Notamacropus eugenii: one gene and its partner. The protein of the gene in region 2 purifies or fractionates together with the protein of the main gene of each other region. This does not show direct contact. Links are inferred from orthologs where the notes say so. Each region holds a gene or a part of one and is shown on either strand. Other genes may lie near its edges. The genes, in order: EMC4 and POR.

What was found.
Region 1: the proteins of POR (region 2) and EMC4 purify together in Homo sapiens (affinity purification with mass spectrometry; 3 studies listed by BioGRID and IntAct, with this or other methods). This does not show direct contact. The link is inferred for Notamacropus eugenii from reciprocal best matches to the Homo sapiens genes POR and EMC4.

What each region holds. Positions count from the first base shown.
Region 1 is NC_092878.1:17,316,185-17,328,738, forward strand, and holds EMC4 (ER membrane protein complex subunit 4), read right to left. Parts: upstream 5,242-12,554; 5' UTR 5,035-5,241; coding exon 4,949-5,034; intron 4,072-4,948; coding exon 3,957-4,071; intron 3,230-3,956; coding exon 3,076-3,229; intron 2,763-3,075; coding exon 2,602-2,762; intron 2,350-2,601; coding exon 2,314-2,349; 3' UTR 1,939-2,313; downstream 1-1,938. UniProt on the Homo sapiens protein: Part of the endoplasmic reticulum membrane protein complex (EMC) that enables the energy-independent insertion into endoplasmic reticulum membranes of newly synthesized membrane proteins.
Region 2 is NC_092873.1:50,940,309-50,952,801, reverse strand, and holds the start of POR (NADPH--cytochrome P450 reductase), read right to left. Parts: upstream 5,023-12,493; 5' UTR 4,796-5,022; intron 1-4,795. UniProt on the Homo sapiens protein: This enzyme is required for electron transfer from NADP to cytochrome P450 in microsomes. It can also provide electron transfer to heme oxygenase and cytochrome B5.

The DNA of each region.
Region 1 (12,554 bases), on a different chromosome or scaffold from region 2:
AATTTAAAGTTCTGGTGCCATACCTTATTTCACAGTGCCAAAGTCACTGAGTTGCTAAATTCCTTTCATTCCTCCTCAAATGACTCAGAATATGAATTGGCATTGACTTTGCTTAGAAAGTTCCAGTTTTTCTCATTGTGTGGCTTGGTTTTTGGAGTTGAGATGAAGCGGGGAAGTTGATAGCAATGCACAGACAATTTAAGACATGAGGTTTTTGTTTGGTTTTGTTTTAGGGTGGGAGCGGGGGACATTACCCTTTCCCTCAGTTTCCTCCTTTACTTTGATTGTAAAGACCTGGTTCTGGACTCAGAGATTAATCAGAAGCCTTGGAATTGCCAATTTCCTTTGCATTCTTAGAATGCTATGAAGGACTGGACCGAGGGGGTAATCTTACAAGTTAAACCTTTTTTTTTTTTTTTTTTTTTGCCAAGCACCAAGGTATTGCTTCCAGGCATAGGAAATCTTTGCCTTATATGGCTGTGGCAATAATTTCAGACCCCTGAAGTTGGCCTAAAATCTATTACAGATATTTCATGTACAGGGACCACTCCACCTTGCCTAGGCCCATGGCCACTTCATGGACTCAGCTGTTACTTGACTAAACCGAAGATAGTTATCATCTCTCTTTACTCAGTAGCATTTGAAATGAGCCCTTTTATATTCAGAATGTGCAACATTTTGATGATTCAGCTAGCTCCATGGACAGAGAAGGCGACCATTCAGTATAACTGAAGAAAATCATTAGAAGCCACCCACGACACAGAAGAGCAAAAACCAAGTCAACTCTAATTCCTGTCTTCCTTGGACAGAACAAAGTATTTAACCAGTCTTAGCTTCAGTTCTTCCTCCAAGGTGTCAGGAAGAGTGTAGTGAATGTTTATAGCTCATGTTGCACCTTTTATTCCTTGTTTCCCTCTACCAATTTCCTTTTTATGGTGGGGACTGGAGTTCAATACCAGAAGAAAATTCCCTCCTTGGCTCTGTCCAAGAGCCTAGATTTTGCAACCTGATACTCCAAAAATCATTTCATTTCCTGGTGGGTTTTTAGTTTCTCTGAGCCAGCACCCCCTGCTCCAAAAGGGTGATGATGTTAGAGAGGTGAGGTTAGGTTAGGGAGATTAATGTAATCTAGACAGAAAAATGAAAGGTTTTAAGGAAATTCTCCCTGAAGTTTATAGTCAGAATATTTTTAAAGGGATGAGGGAACTGGAGGTTATGTGTGTAGCCCCTCTGCCTCCATCTTTTTTTTTTTAATCACTGTTACATGACAGAGTATTGTCCACTAACCAGACTCTCACTCCCGTTTTTGTGTGGACCACTGTATATGTATTTTTGTCTCTTGTGTCTCTGAATCATTGCAAAGTAGAGCAATACTGAAAACTCAACAAGAGAATGCACCTTAGGGAAGGGGGCTGTCAGTTTTCACAGAGGTAAGAGAGGGGAAGAACCTTCTATCTTTGGGACAAGATCAAATTTGGAGATTTAGCCATAATATTCCCAGGGAGTGTAGTGTCAAATATCCTCATGCTATTGGTCTATGCCTTTACTAGCTGGATTAAAAATCATACTGAGGCCAGTCTTTTAGCAGGGGAAAGATCACTACTTCATATTCATATATGCCTCACAGCTTCCTGAGGCAGCTGGGGACTGCCTCTCCCTAAGGAACCCATTCCCTACCCTGTGATGGATTAAGCACAGTCACCTTCCTCTGTTCCCAAGTTAAATAAAATACCATGGCACGTAGAAAATGCCCACGTTCAGTCCGGTATTAACAATTATTTTTTCTTTTCTTTTTTCCTTTTCATCATGTATAATCTGAAGCTTGCGTTAGTTTCTCAAGTCTACCATAATTGTCTCCAGCAGTATTTTTCCCCTTTAATATCATTTAGAGGTAGAACCTTTGATTTAGGGGAAATGGATTAAGGGAACTCATGCAACTTTGTTTTCTTTTCCAAGAGCTGTTCTGAGCAGTTTAATTTATTGAGAGGAGAGGCTGAAGCAGCCACTCTTGTTTACATAGAATTATGGTTCTGATTGTTGTTTTTGCTCTGTATTAGAAACATAAATAAAGTTTTTTACATTATTTTCAGCCAGGAGCATCTCTGTAGTTTTTCTTTGTTGGTACTCTTGTACTCTAACCCTATAAGCTTTGTTCTGTTTTCACCTTTGAGAAAAGAAGTTTTTGGATTCTTCTTTTCAGCACAGGAGATCTTTGTGAAGCAGAACAGACTGAAGTGTTATTGAGAAGGGACAAATGACGAAAACCAAATGGGATCCAAGGGTGAGAGGGTGCCAATTCGCGGTTTCCCCTGATTATAAGAGTAGCCCACCACCACTGAATTCCATTCTCTGAAAAGAAAAAAGAAAGAAAAAAATGATAAATGTTATAGTGCAGCTTCTCACCAACTCCGTTTAATCTTCCACTCCAAGCTCTCCTACTTTCCACCTACTCAAACATTTTCTGAAGCTCCCTATGTGCTTGTCTCCTAAGTCTGTTTTTCTAACTCCAACTCCACTTTCTGACAAATAAGGTAGATGACACAGTCAGCTGTTGCTTACATCTCAACTTAGGCAAGTTTAAATTCCTACTTTTTGCCTTACCTCAGGGGGCTCAATGAAAGCCAACCAGTCTGATGCATGTGTAGGCAGCAGTCCCATGGACTGGCACTTATAAACAGCTAAAGCCAACCCCATGAGGTTCCCAATGAGATAGACCAAGCCCTGGAGGAACTTCTGGCTTGAACTCTCCAGCATCTTGAAAGCTGCAATGGCAATGAGAGGTATCAAGATGAATCCAACGCAACATAATACATACAAGGACATACTAAGAGACTGAGCTTCTGGCTGAGGAACTGATGATCATAGAAAAAAAGAGAAACTCAAATATAAGCAATTTAGCCTCACTTCTCAGTAGCAAAGGGCTTTTCTAACAAGTCACTTCAATGGGGATATCCCCTAATGAATTGGCTTTTAGACCTCAAAGACTCTGGGGAAAACACGTGCCTCCCAAGTTCTGGGGAAGACAGACTGTGTGCTTGAAAGGACAATGCATACCTTGTTAACATCAATACTTACTGGCTGAAATGGCCATAAGTGCTTGAATGGGCCGCCAGGCCATCATACACACCATCATGGTGGGGAAGATGGAGATGGTGTTGCCTGCCATGTACATGATGAAAAGGTTCATGGGGATCTGTTTGAGGGGACCCAGGGCAATGTCCCAGCAACGCTAGAAGAAACATATGATTATTTTGCTTCAATCGCTGTGTTTGTCCTTTGTTGCCGAAGAAGGCCATGCCATCAGAGAAATGATGACTTGACTTTGTTTGGAGTGAGGGAGGGCTGTGCAGGTCACCAGCCTCACTTCTCCTCCAGAGTCATCTGAATCCAGTGACCAGATATTCATCAGGATGACTGGAGATGACCCAGGATGAGGCAGTTGGGGTTAAGTGACTTGCCCAAGGTCACACAGCTAGTGAGGGTCAAGTGTCTGAGGTGAGATTTGAACTCAGGTCCTCCTGACTCCTGCACTGGTGCTCCATCCATGGCATCACCTAGCTAACCTCACTTCAATGGCTACTAACACCCCCAATACCAATTACTTCTAGTTACCTTCATCAAGGTTTGTCAGCAATATGACTTTTCAAATTTGTTTTCTGCTGCCATCTGAGGAGCTCTCATCCAAAGATTAGAAAACAGGAGTGAGAAGCCTGCTTATTAACATTTTCAGGCTATCTTCCAAGGGGTTATTCAGGGACAATTTTCTCCAGCTTCTAATGGTGGAGAAAAAAGAAGGATTCTGTCCTCCTCATCCCTGCCCCATTCCATTCCCTCTAAATGGCCCAAGGTTTTATTTTATAAGTCCTTTGTCTTTAAAGAGATCCTTTTCTCATCCTTGAAGAAAGGCAGAGCTCAAAGATTTCAGAGGCACTGGTCACCTCCTTAAATCTCTGTACCTTTTCTACTAGGATCCGGTCTGTTTCCTGCACGCTGGTATCTGGCACCTGCTTGTCCAGGTAGCCCACTGGGTACATGGAATCTCCTTGGCCACCTCCCCGGTCACTTCGGCCCCTAAAGAACCAGACCAAGAAGCAGAGGCTAGGGATCTCCCCAAATGCCCCTCTCCCCCCAAAACCCTGCCCTTTCCTCTAACTTCTTTCTGGGCTGGCATCACCCACGCTCTTCATCCTGAACCACCTCTAAAAGGAAGGCGTTTAGGCTACATGCCATCTGAAGCCCCTGACACCTGTCTTCAGGTGTTCGGTGCCTTCTCCGTGCCAGAAGGAAGCGACAGGCCAGGAGCTGCCATGCTAACAAGGGCACGTACAAACACGCGTGACCTCAAGACCGGCGTCACGGAGGGCCAAGCACAAGGGCAGAGGGGAAGCCAGGACAGGGCAAGTCCGGAAGCTGCGTCTCCAAGGAGGGAAGGAGAGAGGGCATCCCGGGAGGGCAGGGCGTGCGGTGCAAGAGCGCCAGGGCGGGAGATGGTGCGTCGTGTGAGCAGAGACTGCGTGGGCTGCCCGGCTGCCCGGCGCGGGAGGGGCGATGCCCGCCAAGGCTGGAGAGGTCGGGGAGTCACGCGGTCAGGTCCGGCATCAGGACGCGAGACGTGGGACGACGCAAGGGGTGAGTCCTGGGGATTCTACCCCAGCGTCTCACGTCCGCCCCGCCCTCCCCGGACCCATGATCCGGCTCCCCGCCGGCTGAGTCCCGCCCAGAACGACCTCGTGCCTGGCACGCGGCGGGCCCCCGACTGACGTCAGCGCCGTGCCCACTCAGCCCCTTCGGGCCCAGGACGCCACGCCCCCGAGGCCTGGCTCCTCCCCAGCCAGGGGGCCCGTGGAGGGTGGGGGGAGCCGCCCCGGCCTTCCCCGTCCCGCCCTCGTCGCGGCTCCCGTGCCCGTCGCGGCTCCCGTGCCCGTCGCGGCTCCCGTGCCCGCCTCACCTGCCGCCTCCTCCGGGGCCGCTCAGCTCAATGGCCCATTTGAAACGCCGGCCTCGGTTCGCCACCAAACTTGCCTGGGTCGTCATGGCAGCGGCTGCCTCGTGACGCCGCGGAGAAGGAGGCAGGCCCGGATCGCGTGCCTTCCCGGGGACCCCCGAGAGCGCGACCCCCGAGAGCGCGACCCCGCGAAGCCGCGGTCTCGCCTCCCAAATAGCACTTCCGGGTCAGCCGGATGACGCCACTTCCGGTGCTGCTCCGGCTAAGGGAGAGCCCGGAGGGAGCGTGCGTGGGAGGGAAAGGGGGCGGGGCCTGGAGCTTATTAAAGGAGCCTTCCCAGCTCGAGGGTCCCGATCCGCCCCTCCCTCCCCGTGCGCCCCTCTCGTCCTTCATCCCCTCCCCGTCTGCTCCCCATCTGTAGCTCTCCGTCAGTCCCACCTCAGTCATGCCTCCTTTCGCCCAGCTTTGTGCCCTTGTCGCCTGCGGGCTCAGGGGTGGACGGTGGAGGACTGCGCCTCTAGGAAATAAATACTAGTGGACCAACTGGTTCCGTCCAAGTGGCCTTTCAGGGGTACCTCATCAGGGGGTCAGTCAGGCACCGAGCTGAGAGCTGAGGATAAAGAAGGTCCCCACCCTCAAGAAGCGAAAGGGAGGGGAGGGAGGGGGCACCCCACGTAGGGGCGCTGTGAAAAAATCTAAAGTAGTGCTGGCGGGTGGGGAACAAAAGGATGGATGGCCCGGGGCCCCCCTTAAATACAGATGTGGGGGGAGCTCTGCAAGCCGCGTCCCATCCAGAGGCCCCGGGGTAGAAGGTACAAGAGTCTGAGGGTCTGGAGCAAGGGAGAGACCTGGGGGGCCCCCTGCCCCCTAACCCCCGCAGCCACCACCCGTGTTAGGACACCAGTCACATTCGAAGGGCAGCCAGTCAGCAGTTTGATGAAAAGGTGAATCAGGAGAAAAGGAGTAAGCTATCCAGGAATACTGAATTTGATGAGGCAGGATAAGTAATAGGAAGCCAGGAGGCAAGAAAATGGAGTGTAGAAGACTGTATAATACAGGGTGCAACTGATTCTCAAAGGGATTGAAGTAGGGAAGGGAGAAGTGTACAGTGAATAGTTAGTGTGGGGAAAATGGCCTGGGAAGGAACTGAAAAAGGTGGAAAAATTAGAGGTCAACCAGGACAAAGAATAGGGCCAGAGGTCCTAAGAAAGAGGAAAAGATAAGATAATAAAGAATAATGACCAGATTAGAGAAATTTCAGAGTTCATGAACGTTCAAGAGTACAACTGTTTGAGGGGAAGTGTAGGAGCAGGTCATAGCAAGTAAAATAAATAGATTGAGGAATTGGGAAGTTTGGGTGCTTGAAGGAACGTCAGTGTGTTTAGTATGAGAGCAAGAATTGAGAAATCCATTTCCTTATTTCTTACAGACAGGCAGGGCACACTAGGTGTATTGGACTGAAGGTGCATTGCCATACTGTCAGAGTAGATTGGTTGTGCTGGCCAGTTTTGCTGAACCACTTTTATATTCTTTGTTACAAGGGATGCCTTACTCAGTAGGAAGAGAAGTATTCAGAAATGAAAGACAAAAGGTACCAATAAGTTTCTAAAATTGTTGAATCCTTAAGATTTATTCTCATCTTAAGTGTCCTAAACCCATAAGTGTTCATCCTGCTCATACTTATAACAAAAACTCCTCTTGGTGGGGTCCTTTGGCAGGGTTCCTGAGGATTACTTCCTTAATCACTGAGCTTTCCTATTTTTTTCCTGCTCTTGGGTTGTAATTATAGATTTGATATGAAGATTTTCAGACTCTTAGACCCTCAAGCATTCATACGTTGTTAACAGGTGGCTTTTCCATATTTAACATGGGCAATATACACAATGCAGGCCCTCTGATTTTCTATTCCATGCATATAGTTTTTTTGTGGCAACTACTTGTTATTCTTGCAGCATTTCAGTAACAAATGCCAGCCAGTATTCAAATTTCTCCTCCCCTTCTGAGGCAACAGTATCTCCTGAGAATAATTGCCAACTTTCTCTAGAGTGTAAGTTCCCAGAGTGGACAGTACTGCAGTGAGGTGGGGGGAGATGATGGAACAATGTGGGGCAAATAATAACCTCCCATGCAATTGGAAGGTGTTCAGTAAAAATGACAGGGTAGTGGAAGCGTAAGGAAAGAAGAGAAGAAAATTTTGAAAAACCACTTGTACATGTTTCATCTGTTGTGTAACAGTTAAAATCATAGTGATTATATTATTTTCCAAATAAACACACAAAATGCAAGTTATAACCAAAGAGTGGTTAAGTCCATCAATAGGTCTTAACAAGCAAGTGTTGGCAGATTACCATGTTGCAGGTTGTCGAGAAGTGCAGCATGCTTTGGCAAGAATGTGTTCGTGTAATGACTTGCAGGAAAAATGCCACAAATTTACAATAAATTATGAAATTTAAGATGTGTCATTTTAAAAAACCTTATATTTTTTGAAATGATGCAAATTTAAAAAAATTAGAGTTAAAGAAAGTAGGTTTCCAGGGAGGGGGATTTAATGATTTTTTTTAAAAAGAGCTGTAGGCCAAATAAGTTTGGGAATCTCTGGAGGATCCATTCACACCATAAGATTTATGAATACTGTTGATGTCTCATTTTTCAGTTATATTCAATTCCTTGTGACCCAATTTGGGGTTTTCTTGATAAAGATACTGGAATGATTTGCCTTTACCTTCTCCAGCTCATTTTACAGAAGAGGAAACTGAGGCAAATAGGGGTAAGTGACTAGAAAAGCTAATAAGTGTTTGAGGCCAGAAATTGAAGTCAAGGTGATGTCTTCCTGACTCCAGGCCCAGCACTCCATTCCCTATACCACCTAACTGCCCCAATATGAATATGAATTATGAATAGGCTAGATATAATTACTGCAAGATATATAATATGCAGTGGAAATCAGCAATTTTTTTGTCTGCTAACTCTGAAGTACCACTCCACTAAGCATAGCCAGCTCTAAGCTTAGCCTTCCGTATTCTGAGGTGTGCTTGGCATCTTTGATATCAAATATGCTAGAGTGCTCAGCAGGATACTACCTCTGAAGTCTAAGGTGTTTAAAGGTTGGGTGAAAAAATGCTGGCAGTGTTCTAGTAACATCTGGTTCATAGAAACATAGATTTAGACTTGAAAGGGTCATCAGAGGTCCTTCTCATTTTAAAGATGAGGAAAATAAGGCTTGAGAGGAAATGATTTGCCAAGAGTAACATGAATGGTAGTTGGAATATCTTGAATTTGAACCCAGATTCCTATATTCCAAATCCACTGAACCACATTGCTTCTCTATCAATGAAAGTGGAACCAACACATTTATGAATTTGAACAACACAGCCTTGATGTGTTGCATGAGGGAGTAAAAGCTGTACCAAGGCAAAGATGGAAAGAGCAGTGAACCTGGCTAAGGGGACCAAAGAGAATTTCCTGCTGGAGGTGATAATTTTTTAAGTTTGAGAGATCTTTTCCTATTAAAAAATGTATTTATTTTATTCAGAACTTGAAAAACTAAACAAGTATTTTCATCACATAGTAGCATAGACAAAAAAAGATTGTACATAAAACCACAAATCTATTATGTACAACTTGCTATTCCTGTTAAATATATAATAAAATTATCATGTAACTCTCTTTTTTCCTCCTTTTTCCTTCCCTCCCCCTCCCAGAGATGGCTACTATTACGTGTGTGTATGTATGTATATAATACATTATATTATTATATATTATATACATATATGTACATAATACATACATATATATATTCAGATGGCTCTGGAGGAGAAGTGAGGCTGCTGACCTGCACAGCCCTCCCTCACTCAAAACAAAGTCAAGGGCAAGTCATCTCATTATTTCTCTGATGGTATTGTCTTCTTCGGCAACAAAGGACGAACACACACAGATAGTAAAGAGTCATACCTACTCTATGATGAGCTTATTCCCCCAGTATCAAACTTTAAGTGAAATGATGCCTAAAATATTTGACAAGTATTTGTCCATTTTGTTTTTTTAATCTTTTTTTAAAATTTTTTTTTAATTCCATAACCTCCATTGATAATGAACTCAGGGTCAATCCTCAGTAGACATTTCTTCCTGGTAACTAATTATAAGCCTATATCCACCAATTTATAACTATTCCTATTTGTCCTCAGCAAAGGTGAAAATATTTAACTGAGGAAAAAGTCTGTATGATTTATTATTTTTCTTTGTTTAGTAAAAACCTTGAAATTAAAGGACTGAAGCATTTTTTTCTATTCTAATAATATAACATGTATGGAGTCAAATATTTCTGGGGGTCTTTCTTTGGATCTTCTAATAGTATGGGATACCATGAATCATACAGGCTCTCTATTTTTCTATCCCCACATGATGTATCTACCTTCATTCTTGATCATACATCAATTTGATAATATCTTTTATAATGCTATCCAAGGCCAGGATGGTGTGTTTCCAGGTAATCTTAGTTACACTAATAGTGCTCAAGTGCCTATTTCCTGCACTCTCCACCAGCAGTCCAGAAACCCTGAATCAAGTAGCAAAGCTTTTAAATGGAAGTAAGTAGTTAAAAAAAGGGGGGGGGGGACTTCCTCATATGCAAACATATGCAAATTTCTAACAAATTTCCTTAGTGATGATGTGATAGGAAACATTCCCCAGACAAATTATGCTCCTAGGGTTGCATCTTACCTGAAACACAGCTGGAGCATGAACAGAACTCTTTCTTTGGTTGTGCCTTTGGTTCTTCAGCCACCAGTCCTCTCTACCCCTGTTGTTTCTCTGCAAAATTGCTGCTGCTATGTTCTGTTAGACTTCTCTTCTAAATTGGCTTCAGCCATTGAGGCTGTTTCTTCCTTGAAGGGAATAATGTCACTTTTTTGTGAAATTACCTCTAGGATTAATATCTGAATTTTCAAATGTTTTGTTAGGGAAGCCCAAGGCCTATCTGATACAGGAAAGAATCTCTGAGATCAAGATCAAATTTTCCAATGACCTTACTTTTCCTCAGTAGGAATAACCTTTGGCTCCTTGATATTGAAGTGAATAAATTACTATGATAACCTGCCTGAATTTATTTCTCAAAAATTAGTATACTCCCACCCCATGCCAGTGATTCTGAAGCCCTGACTGTCCTTGTACAAATCCCTATCCTTGTCTCCCACTGCCCATTCCATTCATCTCATCTTCCTCAACCCAAACCTTCCAATGTACCACTCAAGATCTGCCCATGCTTTCTTCCACTTTGCCTCCTGGAATGCCTACTCCATAGATAACAAATTTGCTTTCATATTAAATTATTTCTTTTTTCGCTCTTTATATCTTCTAGAACCCACTGAGACTTGGCTCTCTCCTGATGACATATCATCCCTAGTCACCCTTTCCAGCTTTGGTTGCAGTTTCACTCATATCCCATCCCACTATATCACTAGTCATAGTGGTGAAGTTAGAATATTCTTTGTTCTATGTAGGTACTTCCAAACTCTCTTACTCTACCACCATCACTTAGTAACCTCTCCTCTTTGAGGTCTATTCAATCCCTATTCATCACCCAATCAAGTGGTTGTTATCTACCAACTTCCAAGGCACTCTCCTTCCCTCCTCAAGGAGTTAAATGCCTGGCTAAAAATCTTCTCTCCTCCATAACTTTTCCTTTCTTTAAGACCCAGTTCCTTCATAGACTTCTCTGGCCCTACCCCATGAGTTTTTTCTTCCCTCTTCCCTCTTCCTCTCATACTAGGGGACTTTGACATATTGATAACTCTCTTAAACATCCTAACTTTCCAATTCCTCAACTTAACTCATTTCCCATGACTGACTCTTCCACCCCACCTCAGCTATACACAGATATGGTCAGACCCTTGCCATCTTCCCCAAGTGTTGTTATTCAATGTTCATGAACTCTGAAATTCCTTTATCTGACCATAATCTTTTATCATTACCCCTTTCCCTTTGCCTTATAACCCCTAACTCTGTTTTTCATCCTCCTTGTGACCTTTCACTCCAGGTGATCCTTCCACTCCATCCCTCATTTCCTTCGCAGGCTATCACCCTGGCATGGGCTATCCTCTCCTCTCTTCCTTATCTTGACACTGTTATCCTATTATTAATTCCATCCTAGAATGCTCCCACCATCTTCTTTCACTCCTATTCATATGCTGCTAAACAAAACTGGAGAAAAATAATGAAACCATGCTGACTGGGTCCAGCATATTTAAGTTACATAATCTTCACTTTGCCCTCACTCTAGCACCATAATGCTATAACACCTTCCTAATAAATTCACTATCCCATTCACCACGGCAGCTTTTCCACATCTTTTCATCCCTCCTCAAACCTCTATTTCCCACCCTCTCAGCTGAGAATCTTGTCTCATATTTCACTGAAGAAATCCTTCCAATACTTCCCTCTTCTCCCCTTCTTTTTGTCATACCTCACACAGATGTCTTCTGTAACTATCTTTTCCTTTATTCCTATTTCACATGAAGAAGGCAGTTCTTTTTCTTGCTAGGGTAAACTCCTCCTACCTGCACAAGTGGTCCCATTCCATCTCACACTTTCCAATAGATTGCTCTCTCCATTTCCCCCATCCTCTCACTCATTCTCAGTCTTTCCTTTTCTGCTGGCTACTTCCCTTGCTACCTACAAATGTGTCTACATCTTCTTATCCTTAAAAAAAACCCAGCTATCCCTGGATCCATCCATCCCTGCTAGTTATCATGCTATACTTCTGCTGTTTGCAGTTAAACTCCTTGAGAAGTCCATCCACAATTAAAAGTTCTATCTATATTTATAAAAGAAAGTCTTTAATTCTTTTTCTCTCACTTTCTTCTCAACTTTCTTCAGTCTGGCTTCCAATTTAATCATTCAACTGAAATGTTGTTGTTGTTTCATAATTTAAGTTGTATCCAATTCTTCATGACCCCATTTAGGGTTTTCTTAGCAAAGATACTGGAATACTTTGCCATTTCCTTTTCCAGCTCATTTTATAGCTGAGAAAAATGAGGAAATTTACAACAGAAATTGTATCTTATGCATGAAACTGTTGCAGTAGCCTCTTCTAGTTGGTAACTGAGCTTATCCCTGGCTACATGATTTTAATAATTATACATTTACACATAAGTGAATGTATAGAGAAAATTAGTATAAGGGGACTTAGATTTATTGATAAACTTATGTTGATATTTGTATGTTTAAATACCTATTTTTACAAGTGGGCTTGAATATAATGTTCCAAGGTTTTTGTTACATAAAATCTCTACCTCTTGTCCTCAGTCCTTAGGCCCCATTTCTTTCATATCTGATATTCTATGTTCCATCAAAATCTATTTTTCCAGAAAGTGATTTACACAAGATGTAAAGTGAAGTTAAGGAGTTATTTCTACTAGTGAAGAACTTTTATATAAAAAGACTAACCAAAGCTCCAGCCAATAGGAAGAATCTCTTAATGATGAAATTTCAGATATTACATCACATAGAGGGACCTAATCTGTACCCCTAAAATAATACTATAAAAACTGATGTCTATATCACCTATGACTAAAATTCTCAGTTGTGAAGGTAGGGTGAAATGCTTCTGATT
Region 2 (12,493 bases):
GCAAAGAGAGGTTAAGTGACTTGCCCAGAGTCACAATGAGGTGGGCAGCACACCAAGTCTTCCTGGTTCTGGGACCAGCTCTCTATCCTCCAAGACATGATGTCATCCTGTCCTAGGCTAGGCTTAATGATACCTGTGATGCTTACCTAACAGAGTGGGGGAAAGCCAGACTATGTACATAAAGTACTGTGCAGGGCACACCCAGTTAAATTATTTTTAACAACAAATTGCAACATTGTAAAGACAAACTATGAAAGACTTTGGACCTCTGATCAGTGCAATGACTGATCATGGTTTTGGAAGTCCCCTGACCAGCAATGCCTCCAGCCTGAAGGGTGATGGACTAAAGATTCAGAAGAAGAAACACATTTTGTAAATGTGGCCAGTGTGGGAATTTGGGTTACCAGGGTTTGGTTTGGTTTTTCTTTTTTTTTTTTCCCCAGGGGGAGTGGGAAAGTGAAAAAGAAAATTTTCATTGAAAATTTAAATTAAATTGAAACATAGACAGTGTTCCATAAACCTTAAAGCATTTTGTTTGTTACCCAGGGCTATAGTAAGAATTATCTTTTGTCTAACTTTAAGTACCATGTTAAGTGATTTGTTAAGCCAGGGAGAGTGGGAGAATGATGGGAAGGAAGAGGGAAGAGGCATAGATTTCTGTGAATTACTTCAGTTCTTTAAGTGAATACTTAAATTATTCCCGTGAATTCTTTAAAGGGGTAAGTGCAGTGGCAAATGACTTGTGGGGTGGGGATTCGGATGGGGTACATTTTAAAGTCAGTATGCAGGATTATAATCAGACTCCTTCAAAATCCCTTCATTGCCCAGAAAGTAAAACATGGCATCTTTTAAGAGCTACAACTGAAAAAGAGTGTGGGTCTCTTTAAAAAGGAGGGCAGTGACTGAGGTGAGGAGAGTTCTGAAGAATCCAAATGAGTGCCAATGGGTTTTTGTTGTTTTAAAAACAGTACCCGGTTGAACTATCGATCTAGGCAGTGTTGGCAATGGAGAGTTTCTCAGATTAAAGGGAACAAAAACTGGTAAAAAATTCAGTTGGCAGGAAGACTGGACAACAGATAATCAAAAATAATCTTGAAAAAGATTTCCCACGTGTGATAGCATGTGAATGGGAACAGGGTGATCTCATAACTGTTCCTTCTTCCTCACTTGTCATGGGGACAAGAGAAGACCCAAGTGGGTCATGAGCCACAACAGGGCCTCTCTCTGTGACCAGGGATGCCAGAAAGAGACTGGTTGGGGGATGTGATGTGGAAGAGATGGAGGATTCTCCTTTGTGTGCTAGGATGCTCACACTGAAAGGCCCCAGGGGACAGGGGAAGACCAAGAAACGCTTTAAGCTCACTCCTGAGCATCCCCTAGGAGCTAATATCTCTTCCTTTGAATGGTTGTTTGTTTCTATTTTTTTCTGGGCACATAGAGTTGGGTTCCATAAGCCAGAATACTATCTACATGTCAACAGGTCTGAATAAAAGATAAGGAATTATTTGGGCTGGAAAAGACCAAAGCAGACCTTGTCCTTTGCCTCCTCCTCCTACTGATCCCTTTAATCAATTGATCTGTTGGTACTTTATATTTTTGGACCAGATTTATGATTTTTTTGGTGGAACAAATTCATCATGAGAAATCCCCCTCAACTGAGGCAGACCAGCCCTGGCTCTTGCCAGATGCGGAGACATGAAATGATTTGCTCAGGGTCATCTGGACAACATGTCATTATTGAACCTAGGGTCTTCCTGACACTGAGACCAGCTCTTAGACCTCTACAAATAACTGCTTCTTAATATCTTCATTTCCCGAGCTCTTTTCCCCTCATAATGTCCTAGAAACAGTGCTGATCTCAGGGTCCTGGTGTGAGGTCTATCACTGTGAGGTCTTATATAAAATACTCTCACTGTGTCTCAGTTTCCTACTCTGTCAAATGTGACTGTTGGACTATATAAGCTCTAAATTCTCTTCTGGCTCCGCCATTCTATTTTCCCCCTGTCTTTATACCATCCCTGTGTGGCAGGGGAAGAGGCAGAGACTCTTCTCCCTGGTTTACAGATGGGGAAACTAAGGCATAGGGAAGTTGTGGGGAAAGGTAGTAAATTTATATTTAATGGAGGAAATGTAAATGTTGGAACAAAAGCTCCTTGAGGGCAGGAACCATGTAACTTCTATCTTAGTACGTCCCAACACCAGTATAGTTCCTGGCACATAGTAGACATTTAATACAAAATGACTGATTAACTGGGTGACCTTGACTGGACCACCACAAGTCAGGAATGGCACTGGGGCTGAGACAAGCCTTCACTAGAGAATCTCACCAATTTTCTCAGTTTCCTCACCTGAAAAAAAGGGAGTGGGTCAAGAGATCCTTTCCAGATATAGATCTATAATTGGGTTGACTCTTGTCCCTTTCCTAGAGCTCCAGGAAAAGACAAATGTCACCTAGTCAACCAAGATGGAGCCAATAACCCTGGCACTCTCCCAGAACAAAAGCCTCTTTCTACCTCAAGGCCATTCTGCCACTGTCTTTATCTTTCCCTGGCCTATCTATAGTTTCGTTAAAAAAAAACCAAACAAACAGCCATTTTCCTCCCCCTTGCTCTGTAAAGTCCTATTCCTTGCTCCTTTACAGGCAAGGCAGCACTTCCCTGTCCTTCACCCTTTACTTTGGAATCTCAGATTGCTTGGCTAGCAAGAGGAAGACCTCAAAATTGACAGTCATCATCCAGGGGAATATTCCAGCTTCCTCTTCAGGCTGGGATAGTGGGAAAAGTCTGGGATGGAGCAGTGGAAGCTTCTGACTCTGGGTTCTGCCACTTACTAACTATTGACCTTGGGGCAACTGCTTCCTCAATATGGGCCTTTGACCTCCTTCCTAGCCTTTCATTTTAGCTAGCATCACCAGTGGCAGTTGCTGATCAGGCCTGAGACTCCATTCTTGCTCGGGTACAAGTCAAACTAAATAGCATCTGAGCTCCAGGTTCTAAGACCTTGGATATCTGAAGGGGCTGCTCTCTCTCTTGAACTTTCTACCTCCTATTCAGCTTCTCAAGGTCCTATTGCTAGCTCTATCACTGTGTCATCTTACATAAAACACTCTCACCTCTTTCCTTCCCTTCCTCCCAGGCCCTTTCCCTTTCTTTGCCTGTGGCCATTGACTTCTACCCAAATAGGCTTTACAATGGGGAAATTCGTAATGCAAAGACATAGTAAGGATCTCATGCCTAGTACTTGGAAAAGCCTGAAATAGCTCCTGGTTTTCACTTCTATGGCCTGGGAACCAATGTTTCATGATCATCCATAGGTCCAAGATTGTAGCTCCATGAGGGCATCATAATCTCTGTATCTCCCCTTTTGCAGGTAAGACTTGAATAGTTGTTGAGGTTTCAGGCAAACAGCCAGGGCTGCTCTGAGGGTGTGTTTGCCATGGCTGTGGCCAACGACTGAATTGGGGTTGGAATGAAGGGGGAAGTCAGTACTGGGCCCAGATCTTAACAAAAATGTGTGGATTATAGATTTAGAGCAAGAAGAGACCTCAGACTGTCTAATCCTAGCCTCTCATTTTACAAATGAAAAAACTAAGACCTAGGGAGGTTAGATAACTTGTCACATGTTGCCTAGCTGGTAAATATCTGGGGCAGGATTGAGCACAGGTCCTCTGAAACCTAAGCCAGTAGTTGTGGTAGTTTCACACTACCACAAGATCTCTTGCCTTGAAGAAGGGTACTTTTTCTTTTTCTCAGGAGAAGAAATCTTTATTTTCACCAACTTCTCATGGAAATTTTGCATTTCTCCAGATTGTCAAAGAAAGTGATTTCAGATAACCCCAGACTCCTAGGGTGAAGAAGTCAGTGCCAGAAAGAGTTTGGCAGAGGACCAGAAGATGGATCTCTAGAATCCAGAATTAACAGAGGCTCAGGAATCCAGAGGCTTAGACCCAGAAACAACTGTCTGGAAATGGGGCAGTAGGAAGATAGTGGCGCCTGTAGCTACATACCTTTTTCCCATTTTTCATGCATGGAGAAGCAGTCTTCAGGCACCCGGGAGAGCAAAGAAGTATTACCAGTTCTTAAGCAGTCTTCTCCATGATCTGATGCGCTATCATTACTTGGATCACTTGGATCCTTGCCTTGGAGAGTACGCGTGTGTGTGTGTGTGTGTGTGTGTGTGTGTGTGTGTGTGTGTATGTGTGTGTGTGTGTGTGTGTGTGTGTGTGTGTGTGTGTGTGTGTGTGTGTAATGAGAGCTGGGAAAGGAAGTACCTTTGATCCAATCAACAAATTTTTATTAAGCATTCACTACATGCCAGGCACTAAGTGGCCTAAGGGTTCTAAGTGGCTCCAATACTGGTTGGAGGAGTCAAGTTTAAATCTTAGCTTGGCTACTAACTTGATGTGTGATCTTAGGCAAATCACTGTCCTTCCCTGGGCATCTGTTTCCTCATCTGTCAAATGAGGAGGGTTGACCCAATGGATAAATTTCAAGGAGTCCATGAATGTGGGTGGGGAAAAAAACCTCAATTACATTTTTATTTTGTACTGTCCTTTAACTGACATCTAGCGTTTCCTTCAATTATGCATTAAAAAATAACAAATACCACCATAATGATGCTAAGAAGGGTTTGCGGTCGCAGGAACCAGAAGTTTCTAGCCCCTGGCTCCTCCCCATCCCCCTCCCCATCCCCCCTACCCACCAGCAGCATTGGACACAATGGGAAGGGACACAAACCCCTTCAGCAGGGTAGAGCAAAGTGTGTGAAGAGGGGACTGACTGAGCGACTTACTCACCTTGGGCCTTCTTGATGTAGTGGTTCAGGAGGACTTTTTCTGGGGCTCAAAGGGAGCTGTACTTGACCTAGGGGTGTCCAAAAAGCTGAAGCAGTCTTCTCAGGAGGCAGCACTCAGATGGACCTGCTAGACAAAGACCATGACCCTTCTTAGGTGGCAGGGTGGGACCAAAGAGAGTGGAGCAGCTGACAGGAGTAGCTCGGTTGAGTTTTCCTGTCTTTTCCAATCTCTGACCGGCCCACTGCCTTTTTATGGGAGGAGAAGGGGAGGGACTAGCAGAGATTACACTCTCCAGGCCAGCCCCTTCCCCTCCCCCTTCCTCTCCCAGGAGCCAGCTGTTTCCCTGGAGCCACCGGCTTGGTCCTTTGTGTTCCTGAATTGACGCACAAGCACCACAACAACCCCTGAATTTCAGGGACATAGACAACCCAGGGATGGCCAATCAGCTTTCCGCTTTCTCCTCCTCCCTTCCCTCTGACCCCACGGAAAACCGTTGGAATTGGGATGGCAAGAATTGGGAAGTTTTCCCCTGAATCAAGGGGGAAGGCAGCTAGGAGGTTCTCTCCCAGAGAACTCTGGGCTGAACACCTCAGGGGTGGCAGAAGGGGACCTGCAAAAGTCCTCTAAGGACCAAGGCATGGCCTCCAGTCCCTGGACACAGTGGGGAAAGCAATAGGTACTTGGGAGAATCCTTGTTGCCTCTTACTCCGTGGGTGACCATGGATGAATCAATTCAGTCCTCTTCACCTCATGGAACCTGGAGCTGGAAAGGCCCTGAGAGGCTAGTCCACTCCCAGTTTTTTACGGGACAGGAAATTGAGGCCCAGAGAGAGACTTTAGAGGCTGTCTCATTTTACAAATCAGAAAACGGAGGCTCATAAAGGCTGTCAAAATCTAGTCCAAACTGTAGCTGAGCAGGAATTTCCTCCACAAAATCTGAGGAGTCATCCAGGATCTGCTTAAAACCTGCCAGGGAAGGAGAGTCCACTACTGAGAAAGGTAGCTCTAACTGGGAGCAAGTGACTTATCCACAGTGATTAGCCCGAGGTTATATTAGTAGGAAATGTCAGAGGCAGCATTAGAACCCAGGACCTCTAAGTCCCAATCCAGAGTTCTTTCCACTGCATCAGGGTGCCTCTCCGGTACCCCCATTGCCAGCAATATATTCCTTTCCATGACCTAAGTCAAGGAAACCAGGACCTAATAACACTGTCAAATTAGGTGAGTTTGGGATACCTCACCCCCTCCTGACTCCCTTCTCCCCCTGCCTCCCTTTATGTCATGTGCTCTCACAGTTGGTCTTCTCTCTCCAAGTTGGACCATTCTCTACAATTTTCTTCTTCCTTTTCTCCCATCAAAACCCCCCATTCCAGTAGGACCAAATAATTAGGCAATATAACTAGGTTAGGATAGTTGTGACCAACTGGGGTTAACAGCAGGGAACTGTGGATGGGAGCTTTCACTTGATGACCCACCTTACCTTGCCCCAGGGGCCCTTACTGCTGTCAGGGAAGAGTCCAACTTTTATCTTCCCTGAGGGTCAGGAAGGGAGACAATTTTATTCTTAAGTATTCCTCCAAATCCCTTCTGGCATCTGGTTGTGGTGATAGCATCTAAGTCCCGAGGGAAGAGAGGGGATGCTGCCTCCTTGTAGCAAAGAAAGTGTTGACCTCAGAATTACAAAAACCTGGATTCTAATCCCATCTCCAACCTTTGCTATGTGTGTAACCTTCACTGTAAAGTGGGAGTAATAACAGCGGCACTGAACTCATGGGACAGGGATGAGGATTAGATGAGATTGCACGTAAAATGAATTGTAAGCATTAAAGTGTGGTATAAACGTCAAAGCTGTCAACAAATTTTCCAAGTAGGGACTGGCCTCTGGATTCCTCAAACTGGGAACTTCCCTCCTCAACTAAGGCAGGTCAGCCCCTTCTCTGCTACGTATAGAGAGCACTGGATCTTTAAGCAGCTCACCAATGCCAATGCCAGAGGAGGAAATGGAAACCCAGATCAGACCCATGTCAATGTCAGCTCTTTGTAAGAGTCTCGTAATTCAGTGGAATACAAACACTGAGTAAGTGTACCATGTGCTGGTCAGCGTGCCCGTTTAAACTGGGGACGGAAAGATCAAGAAATAAACAATATCTGTCCTCAGGGAGTTTCCATCCTAATATTTACTAGCTCCAGTTGAGGTCCATAATCACACAAAAGAGTTCAGCTTGACAATCAACACAGGAAAAGCCAAGTGAGTGAAGAAAGTCTATCATCCAGGCCATGATATGTCCTTCGCTGGATGACCCAAAGAGTTGGTCCTTCAGTTAGTTTATTTTGGACAGATGCTGAAAATAGACTACTCTGTTGGACTCAGAATTGAACAGGAGGAAAGAGGTGGGCTTGGCTTACTTTGGGAAAATTGTGCAGCATTTTTAATAACTCCAAATTCTCTCAGAAACAAAGACCTATCTTTCTGACATCAATATTTTTCCACTGACGCTATAATCCATGAAGAAATAAAGTCACCCAAAGGGCAATAGACACTATGGGGAATAGACCATGGAATATTGCCAGCAAATATTTGTAAAACCATAAGAGGAAGTTGACCAAGTGGGTAATGTGTGATGACTAATGGGTCACCATCATGCTCTGTGGGGACCCAAACAGTGTTAAGAGCGCTGGCTGACCCTCAACATGTTGAGTGGATCCCTAGGAATGGTTTATGGGAGAATACAGACAAGAGTTTTTGAGGATGAAATGGTTGTGATGGTTGTGGCCTCCCTAGTTGGAGAGAAGACCCACATCAATGAGGTCACAGACACAGAGAAGATTGAAGGAATGATTGCACTGGCCTGTCTGGTTTTGGAGATGAGGAAGTCCTAAACTGGGGCTCCAGAGCTGTCCTGAGACACAGAACAGTCTGGCCCTAGCATCAAGCCCATGACTGAAAAATGTCTAGTACAGAGTTAAACCAGGATGAGAAGAACTTCCAACAAGGGCCCAAAGAAATGGTTTCTGATGAATTCATGTCCAATCAGAATGAAACTAGAGGTGTGAATTGGGTGGTGGGGGGAGGAAAAGGAAGAACAGGGCAGGGCAAAAGAACAGAAACGAGGACAGAGAGTGGGAGTATTTGCCAGAGCAGGTTTTCTGCCTCCAGTTGGTCCCTTCCTCTCTGAGCCCCTGTTCCCTCTTCCAAAAAAATGGGAAGGTTAGACTAGATGACCTCCTGGTATCTCTAGCATTTGCAGAATAGTATTCAGCAGATACTCCAGGGTTTCTGCTTTATAGAATAGAAAAAAGGAAGTCTGGTACAATGGGAAAACCATTGGATTGAGAGTCAGAGGGCCTGGGTTCAGACTCTACCTCTGACACTTCTGTGACAAGTCACTTACCCATAGCGTGACTCAGTTTCTCCATTTGTAAAATGAGGATCATAACTGCATTTATCTCCAGGGTTGTTGTGAGGATGAAAAGGACATAATAATTATTAAGTGCTTAGCACAGGGCCTGCCACATAGTAAGTGCTATACCCATATTAACTATTATTAATGTTTGTTGACTTGAATCAATGTAAACTTCTTTAAGGTAGTACTCATATGTTATTTTGTCCTTGTATTTCTATGAGATGACAGCATATATTTAGATAGCCACCCTGTAGAGCTGGCCCAACAGTGGACATGCACACGTATGTGTGTATATCTCTATGTGTTTGTGTAAATAAAAATATGTATATGTGTATATGCATGTATGTTTATGTGTATATATACATAATATTGTGTTATATGTACATATACACACATTGTGCATATACAGAAGGCATATATATACACTGTATATGTATATACGATATATATCTTGACATATACTAATATATATATTGATGGCATATATAGCATATACTTACATATACCTATATAGTGTATACATATCTATATCTATATCCATGCACATACTGTTTTATGTGTAAACATGTATATAACATCCAGATATATGTAGATAGTGCAGCAGATAGAGTGCTGGGCCTGAAATCAGAAACATTTGTCTTCCTGAGTCCAAGTTTGGCCCCAGACACTTCCTAGCTATGTGACCTTGGGCCAGTCACTTGCCTCAATTTTCTCATCTGTAAAGTGGGCTGGAGAAGGAAATGGCAAGCACTCCAATATCTTTGCCAAGAGAACCCAAAAGTGGGTTCATAAAGTTTCAGACATGACTGAAAAATGACTGAGCAACAATAAAACATGTTACATATGTGTGTATGTAGATGCATAAATACACACTATACATACATGTATGTGCAGCATATATCTCAACATATACTGATACATATTGATATCACATGTGTGCTAACATCACATAAAGCATACATACATACATGTATAGCATGTTATACATAACACATTATATATCATATTGGGTTTTATATACATATTCACAGTGTGTTTATGTGTGTGTAAATGGAAAATATACACCTTAACTTATACTAACATATTAATAGCATAGATTGATGTCATGCATGTGGTACACATACACACGTTATATAAGTATGTTATGTATGTATAGCTATACATGTACTATGTATATACATATTATATATGCAGTATATACTGATATATATTGATGGCATACGTGTGATTTATATCTGTCATTTTTATATAAAAATTAAATGAGAGGAAAGCAGACTGGATTGCCTCCAGGAAATTACAAAATTCCGTTAAAAAAACTTCTCCTCCCAGAAGAAAAGACTTATTTTTTTAAAACTGTTTTTTATTATTTTGTTTTTTATTGCACCTATATTTTCCTCTAGAACCCTCCCCAGATTACCAGCCTTTGTAATAATAAATAAAAACAGTAAGGAAAAAATGTTCAGCAACACTAGCCAATATAGTGAGTCTAATATTACATATACTGTTCCACATCCATGGCCTCCTACCTCCATTTACATTCTTTGAGAAACCTACCTTTTTACTGCTGAGATTTGACAGCTACTGTAACCAAGATGTGGAACACAAGCATTTCTGCCCCCAGGAAGAACAGGGAGAAGGATGTTAGAAAGGAAATCCAGGACCGGCAGACAATATGTTGTTATTGTTTGTTCTTCATTCTTGAAGATCTTAACATCAAGATGGTGCCATGACTTCCAAATTCATTGAATTTTAGTGAGGGAGGACTGTGGAAGGTCACCAGCCTCACTTTCTCCTCTGGAATCATCTGGGTCCAGTGGTGCGATATAGATCAGGACAACTAGACGTGGCCCTCAGCAGAAAAGATAGAAAGCAAGGAATGGCAGATGGGCAGCCAGAGGACTTGACTGGTGCTCTCAATATTGGAATATTGGCAGGAATGAGGACAGGCCTCCAGACTTTTGGGTGGAACCCCTGTGCCAAGCTTAGGGGAGGGAATGGGCCAGAATGGATGGGCTTCAATCTGCATCCAATCAAAACTATCACCTTGGAGTATCTGTGTATTGTCCTGACCCAGCACAGGGATGAACGATGTGGGAGGTAACTTGTCAGACCAGGGCCTCACCTACTCAGTTTGGCTGCTAACGCAGACATTCCACATGGGTATCAGCATTCCAGAGGCAGGCTGGAGCATTCCACATTCCACCATCATGCACCTGTCCTTGAAGATTTCCCTTGGCTCTCCCTCTCTCTGTGAAGCTGCCTCCCTTGCTGCTCTTTCTCTGAACTCCTCTGGCTCTGTCCTCCAGTAGATCCCCTTTGATTGCCCTTTGAGTCCATCCACGCTTCATCCTTCAACCCGCCTCCCTCCGGAACCCAGCTTCCCTTTATCTCTTAACAATTACATGTTCTCAAGGCCTCTAGCCTTCTGAACTCCTCCAAAAGCAACCTTCTCTTTTAGTCAGCAGTAGCTCCAGGATTCATGAATGAACAGGCATTTGTTAAACCCCTGCTCCATGCCAGACACTGGGCTACATTTGGAGGATATGAAATTCCAAAATGAAGCCAGAAGATCATAGATTGGAAGTGGTCTTATAATCATTTAGTCACACTTCCCCTTATTTTACAGAGGAGAAAACTGAGGATTGGGGAGGTGAGGTGACTTGCCCAGGGTGATATAAAAAACAAATGTACAATTAAGAAGAATAAAGTTGCAGTTAGACTTCAAACTCAAGCCAGGGAACAGATTTAAAGCAGGAAGAAGTCTCAGAACCAGCCTCTAACCTGTGGATGGTCAGAGCCAAACACAACAGGCTAGAGACAGGAGATTCAGGAATCAAACAGAAGTTTAATTTCAAAGTGAGGGAAATTACTTGCAAGCAAAGCCACATGTGCTGGTGGCCCACTCCTGGTGGGGACACCTGAGGCTTATACCAACGACTGTGCAGTGAGCTGTAGCCCTGACAATAGGAGGGGTAACAACGAGTTGGATTCAGAGCAGAGCTTCGTGACCAGAACATGGATAGAGCAGGTGTTTGTCTGAGCTCCTGGTGTTGATCAAAGCAATACAATAATATGAAACAATTCTGGGATTTTGCTGTGGCAAAGATCATCCAGAGGGTTGTTATGCCAGGTTTAGGGCACAGCCTGCCTGCTGGGCCAGAGCTCTGGAAAACAGGGGTCTCCTCATATCTTGACAAGCCCAACCCTCTCCTTTCACATACAAAGACACGGAAGCTCAGAGATGAAAATTGGTCCCAGGCAACACAGGTAGCAAATCACAGAGCAGGATTTGAACCCTGAAATGTTTGTGTGTGACGATGATGATGATTAAACTCAAAATTAAAAAGGACAATTTAAAATAAAGAAATGTCCTAGCTTACTGAAATTAAGATTCCTTCTGATATGGGAGTGTGAATTGGTGAAAAACAGACTGTCTGAGATCAATAAATTGGGGGATAAGCCTTAGAGGAGTTTGTCAGAATGATGTCATAGAACCAAAGAGGTAGATCACTTTCTCCAATTCACTCATTGTTACAGATGGGAAAACTGAGGCCCAGAGATGTTAAACGATGTCCCCAAGCATCAGAGGTAAAACTCGAACTCAGGATCTCTGACTCTGGAGTCAGGGATCTTTCTACTCTACCACGCAACACTTTCCTCAAGGACAGCCATAGCTTGCCTCCCCCTGCCCCAATTTTTACAACTCTCTCCTTCCTTAAATATCTTATATTTGAGGTAAATTTGAATATATAAATATATAAGGTACATAAACACCATGTTATATGCATATATACATATATATATGAAGTATAATGTACACAGCTCAGTGTATATGTACATATGAGTGAATATATATTTATATTCATATAGACACTGTATCTATATGTATATACACTGAGTATATGTGTACATATAGATACTATCTATATCTTCATTCATATAGACACTGTACCTTTGGGTGGTATACATACACCCATAAACACTGTATCTATCTATCTGTCTATCTATCTATCTATATGCATGTATATAAAACACTGTATCTGTATGCATATACACAGAGTCACTGTATCTATATGTATATACACTGAGTCTGTGTATACACATACACACTGTGTCTACATACACATAGACACTGTATCTATATGTATATACACTAAGTATGTTGTATACATGCATATGGGCATTGTATATGTAGATACACTGAATATATGCATACATATAGACACTATATATACATATACATACATACATACATCTATATCTATATATAGATATATATACATGTACACAGTAT